Arabidopsis thaliana: one gene and its partners. The protein of the gene in region 1 interacts with the protein of each later gene in a pairwise test. Each region holds a gene or a part of one and is shown in the gene's direction. Other genes may lie near its edges.

Region 1 (4,515 bases):
AACAAAGTCTAATTGATAAAATACGCCATATAAATAAACTATAAGTTTCTTTAAAATATACATTAAATATACAAAACGACAAATTTATGAAACAAAAAAGTGAAGTCATAAGATTAAAACTATTGTGAAATGGATGACAAATTCAGTTTCTTCTTTATTCTTTAAACCCTAAGTTTAAATTCTTTCAAACACAAATCGTAGTATTTGTAAAACTGTTATTTTCTTGAAATATAATTTAACGTTACATTAACAAATCAAATGGATGACATATTACTTAAAATTTAGATTACCAATAAAAAATCATAAATTCTTCTTTTAAATTGTAAGATTTAAGTCTTCCCCTTTACATTTAGCAATAAATAGTTTGCTGCACTGGTTTAAATGCACTAATGCATTGTTTACTGAATTGTCTTTTGTTTCATATATTTGTCTCTACTATACTTTTACTAACTTTCCCACCTCCAATTAAAAAAATTATTACGAAATAAACAAAGTCATATCTCTCTCCACAACATAATTACTTTATTCAACAAATATTAATTCCTAGTCATATTTTAGCTCCTCTTCTTCCTTATATATTACATACATACATTTTCTTTAGAAGTCATTACCATCAACCCATCCCCTAGAAAAACACAGAGAAAAACAAATACAAGAATACAAAAACCCTCTCGACGAAACCGAAGTATCGAAATGAGAAACAAGAATGGTAAAAGAGGTAGCGTTGAGCCCTCGGCGAGGACCGTGGCGTCGGTGGTTGCTAATGGGAGGTTTGAAGGAAGATCACCATCGAGCGACACATCATCATCACAAAACTCGTGCCTGACGAGGACGGAGGAAGTGAAGGAGGAGGTTGCATCGTCGTGGGTTGATGAAGAAGAGGCGCCGGAGATGGTGGTGATGGGATGTCGAAGTTGTATGATGTATGTTATGGTCTTACAAGAACGTCAACGTTGCCCCAAGTGCAAATGCACCGACTTGATCTTCTTTTAGAGAATTTGTTTTAAGTTATTATTCAATTTGGACTTTTGAGTTTGAGATGATGAATTTAATTTTCTTTGTAAAGTCCTCTATATAAATCATATTGTTTAAATTATAATCTCTATTTTAATATGTTAAATTGACAGACAGATCATTTCTGTTTGTGGCCGTCCCTCTTGGTTCATTTTGTTAAGTTGTCCATTTTCATGTTTTAGTACTATGGAAGCCAATGACATGAACGAGGATGGATTTTCATCGGAGTTGAATTCGATTGTTTCAAACGCTAGTTATGGCGTTTGCGTTTATATTTATTTATTTGTATACTCCAGAGAAACATAGTTTTTCAATGTAAATGAAAAACGCCAAAAAAAATAGAAAGTTTATTTTTAAAAATTACAAAATATAAATTTAAACACAAGTAAAAAAATCGACACGTCTCGAATTAGGGTCTTAAGAATCAAATTGGTAGTATGCTAATAATGGTATTGCTTTGGTTTCATCGGCATTCAATCCGATGAAATTTTCAATAATTAAGGTTAAAAGTTGTATCTTCATCAATTAAAACGTTATTTATTCAAAACAATTCACCATCAAATTCAATAAAATTTAAGAACTTTTACAAACTTCAAATATTAAATTATTTAAGAAAATATTTTTAAACCTAAATTTAGTGAAAAAGTAGCAACTAAAATTTGTTTTAATGTATTTTATGACATTTTTCTATTTATAAGTACTAAATTTTCAAAAATCTAATAAATAATTAATTTCTGTTTTTCATATATATTAAGGCACATGCGACGACATATATACGTGACAACATTTTATCCTAAAGTTTTAACATGATTTTTGAAAAAGAAATTTACATTTTACGATAATTTAGTTGCAAATCAAGCGAGTTTTAATATTTCAATAATTTTCATGTATATAGAAATTTTGCATTGCTAGTTAAAATAATAACAAATAGATGTTGTCAAAACTCGAAAATAAAAGGGGTGTTTCTGTAGTTATCATAATTTAAGGAATTATATGATAGAAAAACAAATTTGGGCGGTAAATTTGAAAAAAATAACTTTTTCCAGTCTCCCCAAAAGTACCCGATTTGCCAAATTTGACCCTCCCATTTTAGCTTTCTGTCTATTCACCAGATTCTCTCTATTCGATTCTCCCTTTACTTCTTCTCGTCTCTCTTCTCTGCTCGTCAGATCTCAAAATCAATCGGATATCGAAACCACAACTTCATCAATTATGACTCTTGGCTCAGGAGGATCTAGCGTTGTTGGTATAAAATTTCGATTCTTTCGGGTTTGTTCTCGTTTTTTGATTTTGATTCTAGGGTTTTGGAATAATCCCTCGTTTGTTTTTTTTTCTCTAGGGTTTTGGTGAATTCTTCTTTTGGTTTTATTCGTTTTGATCAATAGGTGTTGAGATTTCTCATAGGTTCTATCGATCTAGTATAAAAAATTGTAGCTTTGTCTAAATTGTTCGCATATAGCTTGATCTGAATCAATCAATTTTAACAAATCGCTGAGAATGATTTGCTGATGTCTCAATTCCTGAGATGGGTTTAAAATGCTATTCCTGAGTTTCTTATTGTTTCTAAGACCTTAGCTAGGAATGTTTTCATCTTCTCTATAGCTCATTGTTAACTTTGTTGAGTGTTATCTTATTTTAGTCTTTGTGGATAATGATTAATATGATATGTTCTGTTCTCTGCTTTGATTAAAAAAAGTGATTGCTTGTTTTCATTTACTGATATGAATTGTTTTTGTTACGCTTGTTATTGCAATATAGTTCCGAGGAATTTTCGGTTGTTGGAGGAGCTTGAACGTGGGGAGAAAGGTATTGGGGATGGAACTGTGAGCTATGGAATGGATGATGGAGATGACATCTATATGCGTTCTTGGACTGGCACCATCATCGGTCCTCACAACGTAGTTATATCTTTTTCTTTATCTGCTAACATTCTCCTTCGTCTTCATATATGTTAACAATTGTTTTGAGAAGCATAGATTAATATTATTTGCATCTCATTGCTTGGAATACAGAACATCAAAACCACATTGTTTTCTAGGCATTGATCTTATCGACATACAATCTCTTAAGCTTTATTTGAGCAGATTATGCCATTGTTGCTTTTGCTTGTAGTAACAGAGATAAATTTTATGTCACAGACTGTTCATGAAGGTAGAATCTATCAGTTGAAGCTCTTTTGTGACAAAGATTACCCGGAGAAACCTCCAACTGTCCGATTCCATTCACGTGTCAACATGGCTTGTGTCAACCACGAAACAGGAGTGGTACGTATAAACTCACCACCGCCCTTCCTTTCTCTGTTTTGTTTCTTTGGATGCTCTGTAATTTTTTTATGCGTATGTGTATAGGTGGATCCTAAGAAATTTGGGCTACTTGCAAACTGGCAAAGAGAGTACACAATGGAGGATATACTGGTACAGTTGAAGAAGGAAATGTCTACGTCGCATAACCGTAAGCTTGTTCAACCTCCGGAAGGTACTTGCTTCTAGTTACTTCTGGAATCTTCTTCTGGTTTGCTAGAAAATCATTGCCCCTTCTAATACCAAAGTATGTATCTGGGGGTCCTCCATTGTCGTTCTCAACGCTTTTTTTTTTTTAATTCATCAAAAAATGGTCTGTGTGGATGGTATGGTGATGATGATGATGTTGTCCGATTGATCATCTGAAGTTTTATCATTGTGTGCAAATATCAAAAACAGCTTCTCTTCCTCACTCCATGTGTTCAATCTTTTGAATTTAACATTTTGTGTCAGCCCTTTTTTTATATATAAATGAAATCTGCTATATTTAATTGGTTATTTGTTATGTAATACACCAAGGTTAAAACAAGAAAGTATCATAAAAAATCATGAATCTTTGTAATCCGAACTAATGGAAAAAGAAGCCATGAACAGCTTCGTAACCCTTATTTTTGTTTCTGTGATTCATCTAAAGCCAATGCTTACGGTGATTAATAGAACCTTTGAAAACTAAGTGTTACTTTTTTCTACAATTAGCACACTTCTTATTGATGATGATGCACGTCGATTTGCATGTACTTCTTGATGTTCCGCGTCGTCGTTCTTGACATAGAAACAATCATTCTTCGACATGTAGACTTCTACTTTTAGGACACTGTTTAACTTGCTTGTAAGTTGATTACGAGTGGTCTTAACCATAAACGGACTCCATGAAAGTTGATTACGAGTGGTCTTGGAAAATCAACTTATTAAATAAATGAAAAAAGTGGTTGAACGTAATTAAACCTATAACACATTTACACATTGCTCAGAAGCTCAATTAATTTATGTTTCATCAGATTTCAAGCCCAAACATTAACACTCATGGTTGGATTGATCCAGCCTGGATCTTATGGTGATAAATGTTATCTCTGTAGTTTTTTTTTCTTTTTTTCCTTTTTATTGTAAAATTTCGTTTTTAGAATGGAGAAGAAGAAAATAATTTTTCTTTCACAATATACTTATATGATATAGTTAGAGATTATAAAATGCGTTTAGTATA
Region 2 (5,087 bases), on another chromosome or scaffold:
ATAATGAGTTTATTTATCTATTAAATAGTTCAAGAAAAAATTAGAATTTAAACACGAAACCAATAGCCCCAAGAGAATCAGGATAGATCTCTCTGCCGCATTGGTATCAAAAGATGCAAAAACTGTTGAGAACAACAGATCATGGTATGTATTTCCATCCAGTAATAGTAAACATAAAGCACTAAATTGAGGAGTTCAACATACCTCAGAAGTAAATCTTGCTCGATTTATGACATCATCACTGAGAAGCCTTTTCAACACCTAAGATTGTTTATATTTAACGAGTGAGCAAAACCAACAGAGAAACTACACAAAAATCCCATACGCATAACTAGAGAAAGAGGATCAGTCTGGTGAACTTACCTCCGGGAATGGTGATTCAATAAAATACCGATTTTTCTTCAATACCAACTTCACTTTCCCATAATTAGCAGTAGAAGCATGGATGAAATCAATGATCTCCCCGGGTAGCTTGGTCTTAGATAGCTTATTCAAAACAGAGATGATAGTTTCTGTCTCAAGACCAACGGAAACAGCAGCATACAACGAGTGTGGGGTTAAATTATACTCGTGCATTGACTCAGGCCTGAAATAGTAACAAATGAATGAAAATCAACAACAAAAATCATAACTTGTACATTGATATAATAATCAAATCAAAATCAAACCTGCAAACGGGTTCAGCAATGGCGATAAGAAAGTCATAAGCTTGTTTATAGAGAGGAGAAAATGTCTCCAAGAAAATCTTTCCATCAGCACAAGCCCACAAAGGCCTATTTCCATGATCCGGCTTCAACTCCAAATCAGTAAAATCTCTCCTCTTCTCCTCTCCTTCACCTTTAAAAACCATTATAAATTCTATTTCAATTTTGTTCCCAATGTATCTATGTTAATTATACGAGAGTAATCAATATTACCATCACGAGAATCCTCATCAGCATCATCATAGTAATCTTCAACGTTTTGTATGTTCTTCATCTTTTGATCATCCTGAGATTTTTACAGTACAATTACACTAACTAGAAGTGAAGAGCCTAATAAATAAAAAAAGTCATGTGGAGAAGAATCAACACGAACCTTCCCACCGTACTTCATCTTCTTTGTAGGTCGTTTTCTTTCATCTAAACATCAACATTTTCCCCAGTATTAGCATACTCTTTTCACCGGATAATTCAATAAACGAATCAAAACTCAGTACGATCGAGATTCGAGACCATTACCGTTTCCCATATTGATTTTCTTCTTTTCGCTCCTCTTAATCAAATCGATTTTAGGGATTGTTTCTCTTGTATTTTCAATTTGTGAATTCGCACATAACCTAAATTGTACGACGGAGGGAATATACAACCGTCTTCGTGGTAATTTCCCGTTGTAAGCTATTCAACGAAGCAAGCTGCGTCTCCGGCGAATTCGGATTCCTGTGTCGAGTCGGTGACTCGTTTGAAGCGGAGGAAGGAAATTGTTAAGCAGAAACGTAAGAACACGATTCATATATAAAGGCTGCAGTAACAGATCAAATATGGGCTTTTAATAGGATTCTTTAAATGGGCTTTATTCTTAAGTTTGAGCCCATGTTTCTTTTTTAAACATCGATAAATTATTTGCCGGAAAAAAAATAGTAATAATTTTACTGAAAATGGTACTTCCCAATTTATAATTTTTTGGTCGACACTTTTCAGCCGATTTTCAGTTATGTAATTTCATTATTGAAATTTTGAAAAATACATTGTAACGGAAAAAATAAAATAATTAATCAGCTAATTAATAATTGTATTAATGAATTTAATAAATCAGGTAAGTAAATATAATATTGAGCCCAAAAAGAGTCTTTGTAATTTCTTAGGAAAGTCATTTTGATAGAGCGCACGATAAACACAGCACCGCAAAAAGCACAGAAGCAGAGAAAGACGAAGACAAAACAAAAAAAGCTTCCCCCAAGAACAAAAAGTAAAATTCTCTCTATGATTTTGAGATTTTTAATTCCTCTTCTCTGATTCAATCTCGAGAAGATGATCGGTTCTTCTTTGGTGTTTGTTCTTGCTAGTGATCGCTTTTCTTTAGGTTTTGAGCTTGATTTTTGTGTGAAATTCTGTGGGTTTTTTTTTTACTGTTTTGATCCGTATTTCTCCTATGTGTTTATGCTAGATTCTGAGAATTCTGATGTTTATTGTTGCTTTTATAAGTTTCGGTTTAGGGTTTTACGGATTAGCTTGCTCTTAATGGAGCTTTGGTTCTTTTTGTGGATTCATTGTTTGTGTTGGAGTTAAATTCTGAGTAGAATTGTTTTAAGTTTTTGGGGTTTAGTGTAAAACTGATTTGAATTTATTGCAATTGTGTGTAGATGGTGCTAAAGAGAATGAGAATTGTAGGAGATTCACATAGGCTTGTAGTCGCAACACTGTTGTCTCGATTTTAATGGTTGATGTTTATTGTATCTTTGATTATTGAGAGTGAATTTGAACTGTTAGTAGCTGAATTGTTTTATTGTTGCTACTAGCATGATGAGTCTGATCAGACTTTAGTAGACAGCTCAAACTGATATCGAAAACGATAAAGCTTGTTTGAGTTTCTTGCATATAGATGATAAATATTCTCCTACTGATCTCAGAATGTAATTTGTTTCTTCACATATCTTGTAGGTTAGCATAGATGAAGAGTCTTCGGGTTTTGTAGTTTTTGTAAAACAGAAAAAAAAAAAAAGAGAAGAAGAGATGGGAGGTTGCTGTTGTTGTTCTTCTTCACGAAGAGCTGATGTAGATAATGGACCTGCGTACTACTACGTTAGTCTGATACTTCTCCCACTTCCTCGTTTTTTTTGGGTGTCCTTGCTTTGATAGGCTGCAAATAAATCAATCTTGATGTGCTTCAGGACACTAAATGAGTTAAAAGCCCCAACGGGCTTCGAGATTCATATGGGAATATAACTTGTTTTATGACTTGTATTTTGCAGTACCCAAGGGCAACAGAAGAGCGTGTGCCTTTATCTTCCGCTCATAACAGGACTTCCTCTGCAATCTCTACTGGTGTTGTAGTAGTAGACACAAACTTAGAGACATCATCTCCTGATGCTTATATACCACCGCCACTGCCTACCCCTTTCGATGTGCCTATAGGGATTCCTCAAACACCAGCTAGTGGTGAAGAGGCTACTTGTGTTGATATAAGAGAGGTTTCGGTGGACTCTGCTAATACCGAGTCTGCTCAAGAAACAGTTGATGGTATTACTCTCGGGGTTCCAACTACATGCTCACATAAAGAGACAGATAGCAAAATCCAAACAGAGATTGATCTTGAATCTACTGAAGAAATAGACCCGAAGCTATCAAAAGCTGTTTTTATACCAATAGAGGAAGAGGAGGATTGTCCCATATGTTTGGAAGGTAAAAGCTTGTTTGCCTTTCCCACATCTCAAAAACATATAAACATAATCGTACCTTACATGACTGCGAGAATGGGTTATTTATTATATTGTCTGTGCTTTTGATTCAGAATATGATATCGAGAACCCGAAACTTGTAGCCAAATGTGATCACCATTTTCACCTTGCATGCATTCTAGAATGGATGGAGAGAAGTGAAACCTGCCCCGTCTGCAACAAGGTACATTCTTTTATTCACTTCTCTTTGGTGTATGTCGAAAAACTCTAATCTCTAAGTAAACCGTAAATAATGAGTAGTTCCAATTTAGCTTGTTTACAAATTCATTTTAATTCCCGGGATATGTCTGAGAGGATCCGTTTGTTCTGCAGGAAATGGTATTTGACTCTACTCTTGACTAGCAACCCGCAAATGCCGCATCTTAGAAGGCTCAATTCTCTCTGTATCAGAAGAAAGAAATTGGAGAACAAGAGAAAAACTTAAAAAGAAAAAATGGGTAAGAATACACTAATAGCTGATCACAAAGTTGGATTTACGAAACATGTCAGTGTTGATATACATATGTTTGTGTACAGACGTTTCAAATCGTCTACAAAAAAACGGAGATTAAGAATTAGAGTTTGTGCTTTAGATTCACTTCTGTGAATAAAAAACGAGACAAAACTGATAATTTTTCTTCTAGATGTTTTAATTTTGGTAATTCTTGTTTATAGGTTATTTTAGGAGTGTTTTAAAGCTGGGGTTTCAATTTGGGTTTGATTCAGTTTTTTCTTGAGTTTAAGAAAAATATTAATCAAACTGAAATTGAGAGTTTGTTATGTATGGATTGGGTTTATTACGGTTCGATTTTAGTTTGGTTTAGTGCTTATTTATTTTCTTTATGTTGTTCTGTGATATGTAATATGAAAATTGTTTATACTTACTAGTTTGTAGTGTTTATGTTTTAGATTTCTTAGTTCTTCACATTTTCGAAACTTGGTTTGTTTAGTTGTCTCATTAGTTGAATATGTGATGTCGTATTGTCGTACATCTTACTTACATGAGTACGTCAAATTAAATGAGACTTATCTAGTAAATGATATTGTTACATGTAGATGCAATATTAGTCATTGCTTTGTTTAATAAATAATATTTGTCACAAGTGAGTAAGTGACAGATGAATAGTTGCTAATTATAGTGAATCATGCTAATGGTATATTGGACAAATATTTTTATTTTTTAAAAAATTTCCTGTCTAATTTGTTTTTTCTAGTTAAATACTTATACAGATTCATGTTTTTAGACTGTAATCGGGCATGACCATCCAACTATTTTTGTCGACCAACAACTTCAACGCGCCAGAAAAGCGTTTTGAGTGACCATTACTGTGTAAAACAGTATAAAATAGAGGTTTTTTTGTCACGCCATTGGTTTAAATGAAAAATTAAATTTAACAAAATTGAAAACTTTAAAAATAATAAAATCAGATAAACATAAGCGAACAACGAATAAAATGTGCAAAAAAAATCACCAAGTAAAGTAATTTGTATAAAAATATTCTTAGGGTTCTAGTTACTAATTTGTATACAAAACATAACACCAAGTAAAGTAATTGCTGTAAAAAACACTAATTAACATATTCTTAAGAATTATAAACACTAATACTTAGAGATACTTTAGGTACTTATATCGAGTAATATTTTGACTGAAAATTTACTATTTGACTATTCA
Region 3 (4,476 bases), on another chromosome or scaffold:
AACGACGCCACCATCTACGCTTCCCTCACAGGAACTTGCCGGATTGTTTCTCCTCTTCCCGAATCAATTGATCAGGTTTCGTCTTTGTTCCAAGTGATTAATTCTTCTGGCACATCTATTCGTAATCGAAATCGAAATCGTTGGATTGTTATACTTGTTTTTGTGATTGTTATGGATATATAACTTATTGGATGATAAAAATGGTAAGCAGAGAGCTATTGTGGAAGTTACAGGTCACAAGGCACATGGTCCTATTCCAGAGACTGGTTCTGTTGTCATAGCAAGAGTGAGTCCTGCACTTATTTCATTGGATTCATTGATGTTCATACTTGGAAAAAAAGAGAGTAATTTCATCACTCACTATTCTCTGTTATTCGTGATAGGTGACTAAAGTTATGACTAAGATGGCTGCTGTTGATATCTTGTGTGTTGGTTCAAAAGCCGTTCGTGAAAATTTTGCTGGTGTAATTAGGTGAATTTCTCATCCTCCTTTGGTGTTTATTTTCAAGGTTTGTTCTTTTATGTGTCGATCTAACTTGTGTTTGCTCTTTCATAGGCAACAAGATGTTAGAGCAACAGAGATTGACAAAGTTGACATGCATCAGTCTTTCCATGCTGGTGACATTGTTAGAGCTATGGTTGTATCCTTGCGCTTATGTTTCACACTTATTGTCTAGTAGTACAGTGGTTAACATTGTTTATTAGAGGAGAGACAATTCTAAGATTTGTTACATTATGCCATTTATTTTCTCTTTTTACTTACATATCTCTTTGTATAGTTTAATTTGAATGTAGCGTAGGTGTAGTCTATAATAATAGATGATGTTTTGGGTGATAATATCTGAAGTTGCCTTAACTTGGACTCTTAAAGCTGTCTCTTGGTGATGCACGGGCTTACTACTTGTCAACTGCTAAGAATGAACTTGGTGTGGTCTCAGCTGAAAGTGCTGCGGGTAATTTTTTTCCTACTCTTAGAAACTAAATAAAGGGTAATGAGGGCAAAGATTACTAATTATATAGCTAATCTATCACATATCAAATTGTAATACATTTCTAACTTGTAGTTCTCATTATGGAATTATGAGTAACAAATATTTTCGTCCTGGACTTGGAGTATGTTAATGTGTAGATGCATTTGCTTCTTTGGGCAGTTTATAATACTATACGAAGTTAATTTCCGTTTGAGTAATCGAAATGTTTATGTGGTCTGGTGATTGTGCAGGCGAAACAATGGTTCCGATAAGTTGGACAGAGATGCAGTGCCCCTTGTCGGGCCAAACCGAGCAGAGAAAAGTTGCCAAGGTGGGTAATTGAATTCAAGACAACACTTGGCTTCTCTCACATAATGAGGTGTGGTCTCTGCAGCAAGACAGACATTTGAGATTATTACAATTTTGAGCTCTTCTGTTGTTTGTTATCAAGTGTAGAGATAACTTTAGACCAACTTGACCTTTATTCGACAATAGTCAGGATACTATTATTATTAGGATACTTACAACTTCTTAAACTCGAAAGACATTTTGTTGTTAGAATTTGAACATAAATCCATAACTCCAACAATGTGGAAATGCTAGGCTTAGCTCGGAACAACTTAAAAATTCATTCGATTGTCGCAATTTCTTGGTGAGTTGGTAGTATAAAAACTTAGCAGAAAATCAAGAAACAAACTTCCTAAGAGATGTAAATCTGTATGCCCTTGGTGCTGCCGAGAAAAGAAATGGTTTTTGTATACAAAAATGTATGGGTCACAATTAGAATAAGTTTAAGCTTTATAATCGAAACGTTTGGGGTCATAACTAAATATATGTAAAATTAAAGGGACTATTTACGAAACTTTCTGTTTTTCCCTGGTTAAATTTCGACCAAAAAGGCTTATGGATCAAAAGGTAGAAGAAGACAAAGACGAGAGAGAAAGGATCGCTATTATTCAGGAAACTTCATTTTGCACTTTTTCGACGAACCTGAAAAATCTTCAATTTTAGAATTAGTCAATACCGGAAAATTCCTGGGTTTTCTCTTGCTTCTGGATTTTCTCAGGTCTCTATCACAAAGGTACTCATCGATTCCTCTGTTTTTTGTTTTCCTTTGAAAGTTTCTTTGATGATCATTGGATTTTGATACCATTCATTACTGATCATCTGATGTTGATCGATGAGCTTATGATGGTTTTTGGGTTTCATCGGATTGATGCTTTTTATCTGAAAGGTTGATGCTTTTGCTCGTACATTAAACAATGAATCCTTAAAAAAACTGTTTTTTTTTGCTCGAATTGTATAGTTTTGTGATGTGTATTAGCTTATTCAAGTTTAGTTATTCATTTGGTTTTAGAAATGTTATATGTTTCTCTTACAGGTGATTCTACTGTGTAGGAGGAACAAGAGTTTTGCACCAAGAAGAGAGAGGAAGGATTCTGGTTTACGGGAGCTAGTGAAAATCTTCTGTGAAATTGGCTTTCCTCTCTCATTCTCTGTGAAATTTGAAAGTATTGATTTCGAAGATATGGGTGCTTTCTGTTGTTGCTTTCAAGTTGATCTCTTTGAGAGTTATGTGAATCCAAACACTTCCATAACTAGGAACTGTCCTTGCCTTAATTGCTTCCTCCAGAGTTTCATGGATTTGGTAATGTTCTTCTTCACTTTCGTCTTCGAATCTTTTGTTTCTTTGTAGTTAAAACTTTATGTTCGATTTTTTTTGGGCAGTATGCTTCGTTGTTTAGTAGAGGGGGAATGCATCCAATACCTTCAACTGTAGAGACAGCTACAGTGATGAATTCAACAACTGCACTTGATGACTCTCTGTCTAGTGTATATCATTCTCCTCCAACACCATTGCCTTACGATGCTGATCCTAGGTACTTTCGTTTTGTTAAGGGCTCTAGTCATTCAGGTGAAGAATCAGAACCGTTAAGAGGTGATACTGAAATGAGTTCTGAAGCTTTGGGTGATGGTGGAGCCAAGTGGAGTAAGTCTGATTCTGAAGATGGTTCGAAAGAAGTGTATACGAAAGGTTCATCAACCTTTACAAAGTCGAAAACAATGCCGGGGATAGAAGTTTATTATGCAGATTCGGATGATGAAGATATTTGTCCAACCTGCCTTGATGGTAATACTAAAAAATTAGTTTGATGCTATTGTTATTATTCTCTTTGAACCTATTATATGCAGTTTTGTTGGTAAAGAGTGTGTTAGGTTGTTAGTAGATCTTTATAAGTTGCTTTCTTGGTTTCATTTCTTCATTTAGTGCACTCCTGAGTCCTGAGCCATTAGGCCATTAATAGTATAGTTTACGTAGATGAGGCAATCGTTGCGAGTGCATTAAGGTAATATTGGTTTCATAGTTCTTTGTTTTAACAATATGCAGATTACACTTTGGAGAATCCGAAGATAATCACCAAGTGTTCTCACCATTTCCACCTTAGCTGTATTTATGAATGGATGGAGAGAAGTGAAACTTGCCCCGTCTGTGGAAAGGTAACTCGTCGCTTTCTACAAAACTTTAAAACCCGGATTTGGTCGAATGTTCCATCAATCTCCTTCATCGATATTAAAAGTGCATCATTTTGTATTAGAATTTGATATCCCCATTTTAAGTAGTGGTCCATTTCTCATACAATTATTGGTCATATAGAGAACCATGAGATGAGTTAACTTTTTGGAGTTAATGCATCCATACCTAATTGTTTCACTCTAATCTTTCAGGTGATGGCATTTGATGAAAATGAAACTTCTTAGCATTGTAATAAAGACTTGCTCAAAGAACATAATGGCGTCTGAGTCCTGCTCAAAAGAATAAACAGAGAGAAATCACTTGTACATAAAACTCCTGTGAATATCCAGATGCCTTTTAACAGTAAATATGTGATGTCTCTTAATTTATAGACTCATATATCTTATATACATTTATAAAGCAAGACAATGATTGGAAGGAAAAGTAGTTTGAATCATTCAAAAAATTGTTATCTAGAACATTGTTTTGAGATCAGAGCAAGAAGAAGAAGAGTGCTTGAAATCAACTTCTCTGAATTATTAGACAAACCAATAAAGAAAAATCTTATTACACCAACTTCTTTGAAAAGTCAATAACTTAAAGCTCAAACAACAGAAACAGAGAATCTCCATAGATGTAAAACTTCAACAACTCTTGAGTACACTGATTGTGTTTCAAGCCGAGGCCGCTTTAAACGCACTCTGGAATGTCTCGGGCGGTTGCGCACCACTCAGCTTCACCTTCCCATTGATCTGACCAAACAATACAAAGCATGGACATTAGACTTGAAGACTAAGGCACCCTTCAAAAATGGCGAGTTTCGCCATGAACTTATTAAGGCAATCAATCTAAAGCGCTAAAACTTACAGTGTAATTTGGAACTCCGGTGATATTTTTCGAATACTTTGCCAGTTCTTCTTTCACCTTTAAAGATCAAAACAGTTCATTCAACATTATACTACAGAGGAAGAAAAAAACACTAATGATTAG

What was found. Proteins that work in one complex are often made in the same cells at the same time.
Region 2: the proteins of UEV1D-4 (region 1) and AT5G41350 interact in a two-hybrid assay, tested with the Arabidopsis thaliana proteins (one large-scale study listed by BioGRID).
Region 3: the proteins of UEV1D-4 (region 1) and AT5G38895 interact in a two-hybrid assay, tested with the Arabidopsis thaliana proteins (one large-scale study listed by BioGRID).

What each region holds. Positions count from the first base shown.
Region 1 is NC_003074.8:19,493,666-19,498,180, reverse strand, and holds UEV1D-4 (ubiquitin E2 variant 1D-4), read left to right. Parts: upstream 1-2,085; 5' UTR 2,086-2,226; coding exon 2,227-2,260; exon of another isoform or gene 2,261-2,283; intron 2,284-2,772; coding exon 2,773-2,912; coding exon of another isoform or gene 2,913-2,915; intron 2,916-3,098; coding exon 3,099-3,278; intron 3,279-3,362; coding exon 3,363-3,503; 3' UTR 3,504-3,804; downstream 3,805-4,515. Other genes in the region: AT3G52561 (uncharacterized protein), read left to right, coding at 694-993. UniProt on the Arabidopsis thaliana protein: Has no ubiquitin ligase activity on its own. The heterodimer with UBC catalyzes the synthesis of non-canonical poly-ubiquitin chains that are linked through 'Lys-63'. This type of poly-ubiquitination does not lead to protein degradation by the proteasome.
Region 2 is NC_003076.8:16,540,717-16,545,803, reverse strand, and holds AT5G41350 (RING/U-box superfamily protein), read left to right. Parts: upstream 1-1,831; 5' UTR 1,832-2,415; coding exon 2,416-2,418; intron 2,419-2,592; exon of another isoform or gene 2,593-2,639; coding exon 2,640-2,780; intron 2,781-2,950; coding exon 2,951-3,380; intron 3,381-3,489; coding exon 3,490-3,599; intron 3,600-3,748; coding exon 3,749-3,778; 3' UTR 3,779-4,342; downstream 4,343-5,087. Other genes in the region: XPB2 (homolog of Xeroderma pigmentosum complementation group B 2), read right to left, coding at 205-261, 364-586, 669-837, 918-990, 1,078-1,121, 1,221-1,230.
Region 3 is NC_003076.8:15,569,585-15,574,060, forward strand, and holds AT5G38895 (RING/U-box superfamily protein), read left to right. Parts: upstream 1-1,669; 5' UTR 1,670-1,690; coding exon 1,691-1,720; exon of another isoform or gene 1,721-1,736; coding exon of another isoform or gene 1,737-1,744; intron 1,745-1,870; coding exon 1,871-2,052; intron 2,053-2,352; coding exon of another isoform or gene 2,353-2,369; coding exon 2,370-2,619; intron 2,620-2,699; coding exon 2,700-3,102; intron 3,103-3,360; coding exon 3,361-3,470; intron 3,471-3,698; coding exon 3,699-3,731; downstream 3,732-4,476. Other genes in the region: AT5G38890 (Nucleic acid-binding, OB-fold-like protein), read left to right, coding at 1-75, 212-286, 384-472, 557-641, 872-953, 1,223-1,314; AT5G38900 (Thioredoxin superfamily protein), read right to left, coding at 4,161-4,238, 4,354-4,410.